Linked DNA regions of Saccharomyces cerevisiae S288C. The protein of the gene in region 1 interacts with the protein of each later gene in a biochemical or structural test. Each region holds a gene or a part of one and is shown on either strand. Other genes may lie near its edges.

Region 1 (5,747 bases):
AAAGATTTTGTTCCATAGAAAGATCTTACTGGGTAGTTGAGTTCTATATCAGCAATGTAAATACCCTTACCTAACCCATTGGTCTCATTTTTCATTGCTAGCTTATAGAAGTTGGGCAATGCAGCAGTTCTCATCCATATTTTGAACTGTTCCCAGTTTTGTAGGTCTGGAATGTTATCGTCAGTGTAGCCATTGGGAAATAACTTGGCCCAATTTGGGGGCGGTACGATATCGGATGCATTGTATTCGGTCTTTCCATATCTGTGGCTGTCGGTGTCCCACGCAATACCTTTTGTGGTAAGCAAATAATCTGCAGTATCGTTTACACCAGTAAGTGTTGTGCCGAATGTATCATTGAACATCGAATTTGCTATCAATCCACAGGGGAATATGGTCTTATTTTCTACCGTCCTTAAAGGGTCACAGTTTGGATCCAGATCATTTCCGATCAATGCTTTTCCTTTTAATTGGTCTAGGTCAAGAGATTGCACATATTCTCTATAGTTTTGATTGAAATTTGTTAGGCGGTAATAAACATAAGTAGATTTCTTGATATGATTTGGAACTTCGAACTGTATTCGACAAGTTTGATTGCCTAATTCAGGATCCGTAAGTACCATCCATTGAGGTTGGACTGCGACTTTCTTACTGAAGTGGTAGTCCACGTACTCGGAGGGAATCGTTTCAAAATGCTTCGCCGGTGCCAATGCATCACATTCTGTGTAGTTTACCACTAGTCTTTGGACACTTATCGTGCTGACCACCAGCCCTATACCAATGGGTGCGAAGACGCATGCCATCAAAATAAGCAACGGCAGTACGCTCTGTGGCGACAAGATGGGCTGCCAGGCTTTGAGGCGCTGTTGTCTAAACGATGTGTTTGCCGGTTTCCTGGATTTTTGAGCATTTTGCTTACTAGACAACTGTTTTTTCTCTTTCCACCTTAATATCAGTCCCATATTGCACAAAAAAATCTAAGTTCCAGCACTTTATTCTAGATGTTAACTATTGATTAGATATCTATTTGCTTTTAACTTGTATATTGCGCCATCCTTCTATCGTTTCTTCAACTATCGCGTGAAAAATAGTACGCAAGCAAATCGAAAAAACTACATAGAGTTCATTGAAAAGAAAGGCAATGCTTCATCTGATGTTTACACAGAATGCTAGAAATTGAAACACCGATATATGATTTATTTAAGTTACACACTACTGACTAACTGACAGAGGAAAGAAAATAAAGAAAAAAAAATAGGTAGATAAGGATTTTGAAAAGAAATAGAGTTCGTTAAATGTATGATGAATAAATGAGGGAAAAAATAAGAGTGAAAAAAAAATCAATAAAAAAAAAAAAAATACCGACACTTATACGTCAAAGCCCCCTTTATCTCTTAAAAAAGGTTCGATGACTATTACTCCTCGATCTGTTGGAGTTTGGAGTGTATGCAATTTTCCCATAAGAATTGGTATTACCATAAATCATTGAATTGTTATCCTGTTCCATCAAACTCATTGAATTGAAGTCATGGAATGGATCATCTTCAGAGACTTCATCGTCGTATTCAACTCGTTCTTCAAACATATTTTTCTCTTGCTCATCGAGATGTTTATGGCTGTCTTGACTAGTCTGTCTCTTCTTATTAGATGATAATTTAGCAAAATCATATCCATCCTCAGATAACACTGGTATCAGAGGCGGTTCTTGATTTCTCAGCAAAGACCATTGGACTTTCTTGAAAAAGGGGTGTTTCTTCACGTCGGCAGCGCCCATTTTGCAACCCAGTCTTTTAGATTCATTTTTTGTCAGTAATTTTTTGATCAAATCCTTACAAGTTCTGGAGATTTCATTGTTATTGGGAAAACTGACCTCATTTTTCAAAATATTCGTAAAAGTTTCATTTGTGTTATCGCCTTTGAATGGAGTGAAACCAAATAACATTTCATAGATCAAAATCCCTAGCGTCCACCAATCGACCGCAGCGGTGTGGCCATTACCTCTTATGACTTCAGGGGCAATATATTCTTCAGTTCCGACAAAGGAATTGGTTCTAAACCCATCTGAGCATATTTTGGTATCAACAAGGGTTGATTGAGCGGAACCCTTGACAACAGGAACCTTGGAATCTTTAGCCTGAATAGACAAGTCGAAGTCAGAAAGCATGATATGGCCTGATTGATGCAGCAAAATATTCTCTGGTTTTAAATCTCTATAGATAAAACCCAACAGATGTAAATATTCTAGTGCTGCTGTCACTTCACTGGCATAAAACCTGGCATCGTCTTCACATATACATTTGGTTTTCCTTGTTTGTAAAGCTCTGAAAAACTCCCCGCCCATACAGTATTCCATACAGAGATACAAATAGTCTTCAGATTGGAACGAATGGTATAGTGTGACGATGAAGGGATGATTGCTGGTGGCAAGAATCTCTTGTTCTGTCAGAACACGTTTGATTTTATTTCTTTTTATCATTTCGTCTTTACTCAAGACTTTCAAAGCATACACTCTATTCGTCTTTTTCTCTCTTACTAAGAAAACTTTACCTACATCACCTTGGCCCAGCAATCTTATTTTCTCAAAAGACTGTGGTCCCACCATGATATCTTGAAATTTATTGCTGAAAGATTTAGTTCTCAAACGTCGGGACCTCCTAGGTTCTGGAAAATCAGAAATCTTTGGAGAGGGTTCTTGAGGGAAAAATGAGTTTGGAGGAGGCACTGATTGGCCTGGGATTTTGTCGTTTATATTACTGGACCCTGATGTTTTCCTTGCTGAAGAAGATGTCGGCGATGTGGCAGATGCGAGTTGCAACCCGTTTGGTTCTGAAGCTGCTCTTCTTAAAGGTATTTTTATCCTTGGATGGGTAGCTTTACCATTTTGTTTGGTAGGTGAAAGATTTCTCGTTTTATTGTCGGTTGTCGTTTGTTGTTCTTCCTTTTCATCATGTTTATCATTGTTGTTATCTTCCTCGTACTCATTGTCAAATCCGACAATGATTGAAGGGAACGTTTGAGTAATCGTGGGGCTCTTGGAACTACCTCTACTGGGTGAGCCATTCAGCGTATCTTTGAGCGATAAATCTTTCGGAATATCGTGAAAGAAGAAATCCTCGTTATTGAATTCTTGCACTTCTTCATTTTCCTTAATCTCGTTTAGTGATAAATTACTTAAATTTTTGGTGTTTGTCAAAGAATTTGTCTTCGAGGTGGGGGTGGACAAAAAGTGAATGCCGCTGCCATTTGCATATGGTTGGAATCCTTCATCGAGGTCGTGAGAAGACATGGCATGAGTTGGTAGACCTTGGTATGCAAAATATGGGTTACTACTGCGTACCGTACCTGCCCTTTCTCTGAATGGATTGTTGGAAGAAAACCCCTGAGATCCTGAATGGTGACGATAATTATTTGGTCTGATAGCAGAGGTGCTACTAGAGTTATTCGAGTTCTGACTGGGCATTATCGGAGTAGACGGTGATCTTCTCCTACCCGTCCCAGTCCTGGCAACAGTAGGACTGAAAGAGGATGATGAAAGCATTATTGGAGACCCGCAATTCGAGTGTTCACGCTCATGTTCATGTTGATCTATATGTACCATCTTTGGTGTTTGAAGAACATCCGTTTCCGGGATCGTGGGAGAAAGTGGTGGAGATGCCGGAGAAGCATTGGCAACAGAAGTCATTGGTTTAACGTATCTTAACTTAGATGAAGATGACGCCGAGTCACCTTCAAGACTGCTTTGGCTGCTGTTATGGGCACTGGCATTTTTGCTGCTATTGCCGGATTGGAACATACTTTTCAATTTAGAAAATCGTGAAGACTGGCCCTCTGAGCCACTATTATTGTGATCTGATTCTCTCGAGTTCTCTGGATCCGAATACAGATTCACGCTAGACACACTCATGTTGTTCGATGAACTCGCATTCCTTTTCCATGACCGCGTAAGCAACTTCGAAAAGGATATACTTCTAGTCCTTTCTGATCCAGTAGTAGGCCGTTGAAGGGAATCGTGTTCGTGTTCTTGCTCGTGGTCGCGCTCTTGTTCATGTTCGTGATGGTGTCCAGCCATATTCTCTTGCTGTTTTCCAAATGATACTACCTTCAAGGCCCCTGAACCTTCAAACCGGCGACTTTGCTGCCTTATATGCCGGTGAGTCCTTAAAACAGGAGAGTATCTCGTTCTTTAAAGCTCTTAGAATCTGTATCTCCAAATCACGCGCGACGGGAAGGCTCAAATAGAAACTGTGGTGGGTTAGATCTCAGTCTTTGTTTTCCTTTTAGGTTGTTTATGCTACATGTTTGATGCCATACGTATATGAGGCTACTACTACATATATAGCTGTGTATATAGTTGTCTTTTCGTCTTGCGTGCCCACACACAGAGATCTCGCTTGATTTATACCAGGTGTGGAGGTAACAGCAAGTTTGGAATGCCGTTCTTGATGTAATAGATATGTCCGCAGTTCCTACACTTCATTTCACCTTCGGCAATGGACGTCTGTAGCAGTAAAGTATGCAAGTCATTAAGGATGGCCATGTCGTCATCGGTGAGCTCCTGGATCGAAGATGGGAAGGATGGTTTGGTAGGAGGTAAGGCGTTGTTTCCCAATTCGGCAGCAACCGTGAGCACTGCAGGCCAGTCTACGCGGTCGACTATGTTCAGAAGGAATTCTGGATTGAACTCGATAGATTCATCCTGTACCAATTGGCATTTGCTGCCGTCGTACTGTAGGGGGAAGTTGTCGTTGCTGGTGTCACAGGCTTTAACGGAGCACTTTAGGAAGTTGGTGGTTAAGAACTTCATGTTGACTAGGCTAGTAATATGATGTGTAGAGCCGAAGAGATCATAGGATGCTACAGTAGCTTCATTGCTGGTGAAGTAGTTTTGCTTTTAAAGCTCATCGATGAAAATTTTACCCAAAAAGATACAGTTTCGTATGAGATGATGAGTGTGATTTGGGAGGTACATATTTACATGTTTTATTAAGAAGAGTCCGCCTGGATATCAGAAATGCGTTTCAGCAGCGCAACCACGTCCCTATTTTTGCTTAGAATTTGATAACAGGTTCTCTTCTCTGCCTGCGAAATGGTACCAAGTATTTGAGAGCGGTCTTCATCTCTCGGCAGTAGGATTCTGACGGTTGGCCCTGCGTGTTTCTTCTTGTTGCGTTGTAGGAAACAATTTAGTTTGAGGATGCTGATTAGTTTGAATATATTGTCATTATAGTCGTATTTGCAGCCTGTTTCTTGCAAGTTGATATATCCCTTGAGTAGTCGTGTGTATGTTTCCAGAGATATGCTCGGTACTGGCTTGTTGACAGATGGAGAATTTACATTAGGGAAAAAAAGTTGAGTACGTTCGTTGTAGGGATTCATTACAATTGAAGAGTATTTCTGGAATATCCTGTTATCCTGCATGGAGTCATTAATTAATATATCGTAAAAATCTTCTTCGGTTCTGTTGTCGTAGATATTATGGGGGAAAAGGAAGGAATGGTCGTACAGCCAAAGACCCAACAGTTTTTTTACCTCGTTAGATCGCACCTTTCCATAGAATTGCTTAAACTCACCCAAGGTCTTCAAACTGTTGTCGTGAAGTTCTGTGCAGATGAATTTCAATATCGTTGGGTATTTAGACCAGTTCGGCAGTTGAAAATTCTGCACTTTCTCAGGTGATGTCACTATCTTATCGAAATTTTTATTCCACAGGTCGTAGAACACGTCTATCCTTCGATGAGTACCTTGTACCT
Region 2 (7,784 bases), on another chromosome or scaffold:
TGATGGATATTAGCGAATGTTAACCGGAAATAGGAGTGAAAGACGTGTATTACAAAACTATGACTATGCCTGATTAATATCCTGAATAACTAGGCATGAACCTTTTTTCACGCAAATAATAACAATAGGCCTAGGATTTCTATGATATAATAAACTTTCTGTTAGTATAAAAAACTATTTTTGATAAATATAGTCTCTCACCTAGTCAAAAACATACGTATCACGGCTTGATTAATTCTTAACTCTACTTTACAACATTTCAAAAATTCCTTTGATCATGACCTTAATCAATTTTTTTGCCAGTTAGTGGAGAGTTCCCAGCGCTGGAAAGTGCTGGCGTCAGTTTTCCATCGGAAGAAAAAATTAGCCCACCATTGTGCGTCCTTGAATAATAGCGATCCGGGTTAACCGGGAGTGTTAATTATAGAACAAAGAAACCCACACGTCCGCTACTAAAACTTGCTAAAAGAAAGAGTTAACGCTGTAGTATGCATGAATTCCAAGGCTTCTAAGGCTTCTAAGGCTTCTAAGGCTTATCCAGTAATATTATGTAATATTATATATACAGTGAAAAGCGGAGTTCCATCAGCTATGGTTCGGATATCATTATTAATTGTTCTGTTGTGTTCCGATTAAGGAGGCTGCGTTAGTTACGCCTGGTAGATCTAGAGATGTTCTCGCTCTTTCCACAGAGTAGCGGTTATCTAGTTGGTTAGTGGCGATCATCTGTTCTCTTGTGCGGTCCAAGGATGACCTGACGTTGGTTGATGGGCCTCTTCCGAACGTTTGGGCCTGCTGAAATTGGGGCGATTGAAGAAGATCTTGTGTTTCCTTGGGTGAAGTCATCCAGGTTTCTTGCTTCTGATATCCGCTAGGACTTCCATCTTCACCGTGCATGAAAGTCATTGGAATCTCCTCTGTGACAACACTATCCCTTGAATAGTTCGATCCTCCTAAGTTGTCGGAAAGTGCTATGCCTTCTATAATCTTCTCTCCGTGTTGCCCAGCTTTTGTGACCTTGGGTCTGTTGGGATCTGTTGGATCGTAACCAGGAGGATAATGATCGAAATGGCCATGTTGCCACATCTCTCTTACTATTTCCACATCAGTTGGGTAGAAAAATTTTTGAAAACTGTCATATGTGAAACGGGGCAGTAAGCAGAACAGCACGGCAACAAAGAAAACAGCCCAAAATGAAGGTGCTCCATAGATACGCGCTGCAGCTTTGAAAAATTCTCTACTAGCTATCGCAGAAGACCATATTCCCGTCCATGCAAAAACTACGAGGCAAGACAGTGCAATGAATAATCCACTAAACCAATCCCATCTATATTGGTGTAATAAAACATATGTGTTACACGAAATTACAGCAATAGTGGTCACATAAACACCGACAAAATAACGATGATCCAATCCTAACCCATTGCTCGTAACTATCATATTTTTGTGATAAACCAAGTAAGGGAAAAAAAAACAGATAATAGACTGATATAATCCGTCCAACATATACCATAAGAACTTTCTTTGGTTCCATTCTTTCCTTAAAATTCCAACACGGTATAACTGAGGGACCACTAATGATATTGTGTCATTCACGTCCTGGTCCAGAATACCTAAGAAGATGACTGGTAGGGATGTAAATGCCAAATTATAGAACATCATGTATGTGTATTCATACAGGTAAGACCCATCAAAATCATTATAGATACCATACCAGAACAATGCCAAAGCAAAAATCATGTTTTTGTAAAAAAACTCAGGAATCATTTCTGCCAGTCTCTTATAAGACCACCTACCGTGAACGAGGACCAATCTAGCCAAATATCTGAATTGTCCAATGGCGTAGTCTGAGCACATAACAGCTTGTCGACCTTCTTCACCGGCAATACCAATACCAACATCCGCAGATTGAATCATGGCGACGTCGTTGGAACCATCGCCGATGGCTAGTGTCATGACATCTAGAGAATCCTTGACTAACTTAACAACGGCTGCTTTTTGAGATGGAGATACTCTACAGCATAAGACAGCTCTACAATTCTTGCAGAGTAAAAGAAACTTTCTTCTTATATCTTCACCATATAGCGCCAATTTCAAAGCATCACCATCGATAACGATGGCGTAATTACCCTTCGGAAATTCGTGATCCTTTTTAGCTTCAAAAATCTCTTCTTCTGAACCGGTTAAGTTGAAATACTCCTTCAAGTATTTGGAGAGTAAAGCATCCACAATTTCACTTGGTTCTGATCCGAATTCTTTCACGTCATCACCAGTTGTTTTAATAACTAACAATTCCATTTCATTATTCAAAAGGTTGCAAGAAAATCCAATGTTTATAGCTGTTTCAACTTTATCACCCGTAAGAACCCATAATTTAATTCCTGCCTCTGCAAGCAACTCTATACAATCCGGAACACCATCTTGTAAACGATCTTCGATAGCTGTACCGCCCAATAATATCAATTCGCGTTCAATGGAATCTGCAACAACTTCTAATTCATCCTCTCTGTTTGCTAATGATGCAGCAGCAATATCGTACTTTTCGTTCCATTTTTCGTATTCAGACCAACTTAACTCCCTTTGAGCTATGCATAACGTTCTTAAACCTTCAGTAGCGTACTGCTCTAAATGCAAAGCAGTTTTTTCCAAAATAGCTTCACTATTGCTACCACTCTGGCGACTTAATCTTGAGTATATAATGGAATCTGCACCTTTACAAATTAAAAGTGCTCTAGGCTCGTCCCCTGGGTTCAGACCCGGAATTTTGACAATACAGGACATTCTTTTTCTCGATGAATTAAACTCCAAAATATTTAGAATCTCAAATTCTTTTTGAATACCTTGCATTTCAATTATCAACCCTTTTTTGGTTTTTCCAACAAAACTGAATCCTACATCTCTAGCTGTGGCTACTAACGCTGCTTCGTCTGGAGATTGAGCTTTTAAATCCAGTTTTTTTGGATTGTCCGGGTTTGCTTCTACAAGGACGGAGTGACATAAAGCTAATGCTAACATAAAGTGCTCACAGCATCTTTGTTGTACTTCACCACTAGCCCCTTTCAAATCGCGAACGAACTCCTTTGATACAAAGGTAACTTCTTCGGGATAAAATTGTGAATTTCCTGATAAAGCTCTCAGTTCATCGATCATTGTATCCCTATCCTTGGCAATTTCGGCCTTCTCACGCCTACCTTCGGTTTCGACGTCGATACCTTGTCTTTTTCTTAATCCCGCTAACGCTTCGGTGTAAGCTCTTCCATATGAAACACCATTGATAGTACATTTTTTAAACTCCATTACATTTTGAGTTAATGTACCTGTTTTATCAGAAAATATATATTCCACTTGACCTAAATCGTCAGAAATATTCCAGGATTTTGGTGTACAAGGATAATCCAATTTGGCATTGTAGAGTAAAACGTCTCCGTAAATGAAGGCCGCTTGTGCAGTTTTGATGATCTCCACAGAAATGTACAAAGAGATTGGGACTAAAGATTGGTAAAGAATAACAGCAACCCAAAATGAGACGAAACCGTTTGTCGCCGCTGACCCAGCAATTGTTCCAAATTCATAGGAAAACCGTGATCTGCCTTTTTTGTCGTAATATACACCATTTGCAATACCAGAAACAAAACATAAGATGAAAAGTAGCACGAAATTTATCACCACAGAGAAGTTTAGTTCTCTTGAAATCCTGGACTTCTTGGTGGGTGTAATGCCAGAGTTTAACATGATTTTTGTGTCACCACCGGTAAACATTACAACACCCATTGCCCACTTAGTATTTCTAAGAGTGCAACCACGAAGCAGAACGTTATTAATAGTAATTGGCTCATTTCGTATCTCGCCATCTGCAAGATTTCTCCATTTCATATTACCTTGATAAGTGTACAAATTTGAGTGGGGCCCTTCACTTTCGATCCAGAATTTTGTTCTAGCAATATCTTTTGACGTTCTTATAGTATTGGTACACTTCAAGGATTGGCGTACCTTTAAGTTTGTTTCACCATCCAAATTTTTAGTTTCTACGTAGCAGGCACCATCTGTATCCGACGTTGAAAGTAAGATAATGTCAGCAGGGATTTCATCATTGTTATGGATACGAACAATATCACCAACCTTGACACCTTTCCAATAATTCTTGGCAAATTTACAATCAGTTCTGGGTGGTAGGGATCTATCAACTATATTGGCTTCACCGGCCCCTTGTTCCAAATTATCATAATCCAATGAAGGACGGCCATAATCTGCAGATACTCTGTAACTGTCAATGGAGTCTAGAGAGGATCTGGGTCCACTCGTTCCAACAGTTTTTTGTACTCTTAGTTCATGACGCTTTCTCTGCATTCTCTTCTTTTTGCCCTCTTCAGTTAAATGTTCTTTACAATATTGTATAAACTTGAAAAGGAGTCTAGAGTTTGCTTTCTTAAACCTTCTCCACAATGAAATATTATCGGTTGAGACATTTTCGTTCTCAACACCTTCTAAAATATGTGTCTTGGTATTATTCACCTCTAAATCTAGGACGGTTCTTCTTGAGTCTTCAATAGCATCCTTGATCGCAGTGATTATAACAATGACAACTAACGGAACCGCACTTAAACCAGGGTTCGTGACACCAAAAATTTGAAATGCACCTAAAATTATTAAAACTAAGAAATAAACGTTGGCGAAATTATGAAACTGAAATAGAATGTTTTTTGGTAAGAATGTTAACGGGGTATATTTGGTAGTTCTGATTTTATTACGAGGATACTGCATAATGGGGTTGCCTTCTTCATCTATCATATCTTTTGGTAAGGGCATATTGTAATACACAGTCCTTAGTTCTTGCGCACGATTTATGGCACCAGGGTCAATATCATCCTTCGTAAAGTCTTCAAATGGGTTTGGAATGTTCTTCCTAGCCCATTTCAAGGTCTTAGATCTTCCCATTATTGGGTTTCCTTTTTTATTCCTTTTTGTACCCATCCGGAATCTTTTCATACCATCGTAGTTAGTGTGCGGTTCACCACTATCATTGTCTAATTCCACATCATCAAACGTCCCAGATCCATTATTAAGTTTCGGTGTTGGCTGAAAGGAATGATTGTCATATTCTGTGTCATCGTTAAATGTGAATTCTTCTGCATCTTCACGTTTATTTTTGGGTGTTTCATCATTGAAGCTGACCTGTGGCCGGCTGTATTTGTTGCTTGTTGCACCATCATCAAAATGGGTAGGTGCAATATGTGTATCTTCATTACTGCTATTATCTTCAAATTGAAATGTATCTTCAAAGGGCGACATGGGAGCATGCCCATCGCCATGAAAAGTTCCAGACATAATTATCAACTAACTTTCCTTTTTAAAGTTAACTGCGTTTTTATTTCACTTCCAGGAGGAAATAAAGGATTTCTGTTACGGTTGCTTTCCCTTGCTCAACCTCCGGTTAATTTTTGAGTGTTTTTAATTGCGACCCTAAAAATCCACTTAAAACTGTCTGAGTTGCGTATTACGATGACCTTCGGTTATTAAAGGTCAAATTTCATAAAGTAAAAGCTAAGTGAGACTTTGCTCTGTGAAATTTTATCAGCTTTGTACCTCCAGTTAGTTGAATGCGGTGATGAATAGCAAGGTACCCTCACTTGATTTGTCAATTTTTTGTAAATTAGTATTTTCCTGGAACCTGTTGGTCTTTTTTCCGTGCTATTTTGTTTATTTTCCGCGAAAACTAACATTCTGCCGTTAATAATGAGACCTCAAAAAAACGCAACTAATAAACTCAGTAATGAAGTCTAATAATAGTAAAATGATACTTCTCTTGACAGTTAAAAACAAAAAACGTTTGCATTTTGTCAATAAGAGCGAGTATTTAGGTTACAAAGGATAATAACTAGTATTTAAGACAAAAAAAAAAGGGAAGGGAGAAAAAAAAGATGATAAGTTTGTTGAGTAGGGAAGTAGGTGATTACATAGAGCATTAAGCTTGCTCAGTTTGTTGTTCTTGCTCCTTTTTGAAAGACTCATAGGCAGCAGAAGCTTCTTTGTAGTGTTGTTCGAACAATTCATCACTTTCCAACAATGGGAAGACCTCTTGAGGTGGCAAATCCAAAATCATACCAGTAATTTTACCAGCTGCTTCTTCATTTGAAGTCTTAGCAGAAACCTTCTTGTATAATTGTTCACCCAAAGCTTGTCTTTGCTTTTGTTGATAAAATTGGTTGTTATCGTTGGCATTTCTTGGGAAACCACCTTGTGGGGGGACGCCGTAAACCGGACCATTTCTAAATTGAGGTGGCATGCCGTTCTTTGGCATACCGCCCATTGGGTTCATTTGTTGTGGGTTTGGACCGTTGAATGGAACACCTCTTGGTGGCATAACACCATAGAACATTGGAGGCATGAATTGACCTGGCATACCGGCAGCGGCGGCGGCAGCGGCAGCAGTAGCTTGCTGGTATCTCATTTGATTTCTGGCTTGGATTTGTTGAGCCAATTGAGAACGTCTTACGTCTTTTCTTTGAGCAATGGCAACGTATAATGGCTTACCAGCAACAATTTGTTGGTTCTTTTCTGTAATGGCCTTAGTAGCTTCCTCTGGAGTTGAGAAACAAACAAAACCAAAACCCTTAGACTTACCGTTTTCGGTTCTCATAACCTTTGCAGAAGTGATAGTACCATATGGAGCAAATTCTTCTTCCAACTTTTCGTCATCAACGCTGTCATCTAAGTTCTTAACAAACAAATTAACACCTTGGTACTTGGCCATTTTTTCCAATCTGTAAGCTTCGTATTGCTTCTTCAAGACATGCATACGTTCATTCTTCTTTTGGGCACGACCAACGTATAACTTTTCTCCATTTAGTTCAGAGTCATTCAAAGCTTCAACAGCTTTCACAGCGTCTTCATGCTTTTCGTAGTTAACAAACCCGAAACCCTTCAATTTTCCATCAGCATCCTTTTCCAAAGAGGCAGAAACAATTGGACCAAATTTGGCAAACAATTCTTGGAATTGTTCGTCAGTAGTTTCGGAGTTGATGTTTTTCACATAAAGGTTAGTGTAATGTGCCTTAGTCTCTTCCAATTGAGAGTCACGTTCCTTTCTGGACAAGTGAGGAGCAACATAAATTTCTTGACCGTTCAACAGCATACCATTCAAAGCATCAATAGCTTCCTTGGCAGCACCTTCTTCTTCGAAGTGAACAAACCCAAAACCCTTGGATTTTCCGTTTTCGTCGGTGGCAATCTTGCTGGACAAGATGTCACCAAACACAGAGAAAGTGTCATACAAAGCCTTGTTGTCAATATCAGGGTGCAAGTTCTTGATAAAGATGTTACCAGAACCCTTCTTTCTCAATGATGGGTCACGTTGAGACCACATAATACGGCATAATCTACCCTTGATTGGAGTGTAGTTCAATTGCTCAATTGCTTTTCTGCCGGCTTCATGGTCGTTAAAGTTAACATAAGCATAGCCCAAAGAGGTCTTAGTGATGGCATCACGACAGACACGAATGGAGGAGACTGAACCGATTGGAGAGAAGATATCATATAAGTGGGCTTCGGAAACAGAAGGTTCTAAGTCACCAACATATAATGATGCAGAAGAGTTTTCAACAGATTGGCTTTCTGAACCAGTGGCGGCTTGCTTTTGGTCATCTTGAATATTCAAGTTTTCCAATTGTTCAGCTGTCTTATCAGTAATATCAGCCATTTTATTTTTATTGGTTTTTTAGTTTTTTTTGGATTTTTTTTTTTGAGTTTTTATTGAATAAAAAGCCAGATATTAGGTGGTGGTACCA

The links. The genes of interacting proteins can lie anywhere in the genome.
Region 2: of the proteins of FPK1 (region 1) and DNF1, one has a biochemical effect on the other in vitro, tested with the Saccharomyces cerevisiae proteins (one study listed by BioGRID).

The regions. Positions count from the first base shown.
Region 1 is NC_001146.8:706,842-712,588, reverse strand, and holds FPK1 (serine/threonine protein kinase FPK1), read right to left. Parts: upstream 4,067-5,747; coding exon 1,385-4,066; downstream 1-1,384. Other genes in the region: YNR048W (putative aminophospholipid translocase regulatory protein), read right to left, coding at 1-959; RNA methylation protein TRM112, read right to left, coding at 4,394-4,801; PET494 (Pet494p), read right to left, coding at 4,981-5,747. UniProt on the Saccharomyces cerevisiae protein: Flippase activator that phosphorylates DNF1 and DNF2 and which is involved in the generation of phospholipid asymmetry in membranes by the inward translocation of phospholipids and in the retrieval pathway from early endosomes to the trans-Golgi network (TGN).
Region 2 is NC_001137.3:510,285-518,068, reverse strand, and holds DNF1 (aminophospholipid-translocating P4-type ATPase DNF1), read right to left. Parts: upstream 5,326-7,784; coding exon 610-5,325; downstream 1-609. Other genes in the region: PAB1 (polyadenylate-binding protein), read right to left, coding at 5,963-7,696. UniProt on the Saccharomyces cerevisiae protein: Catalytic component of a P4-ATPase flippase complex which catalyzes the hydrolysis of ATP coupled to the transport of glucosylceramide, phosphatidylcholine, phosphatidylethanolamine, and small amounts of phosphatidylserine from the lumenal to the cytosolic leaflet of the cell membrane and ensures the maintenance of asymmetric distribution of phospholipids.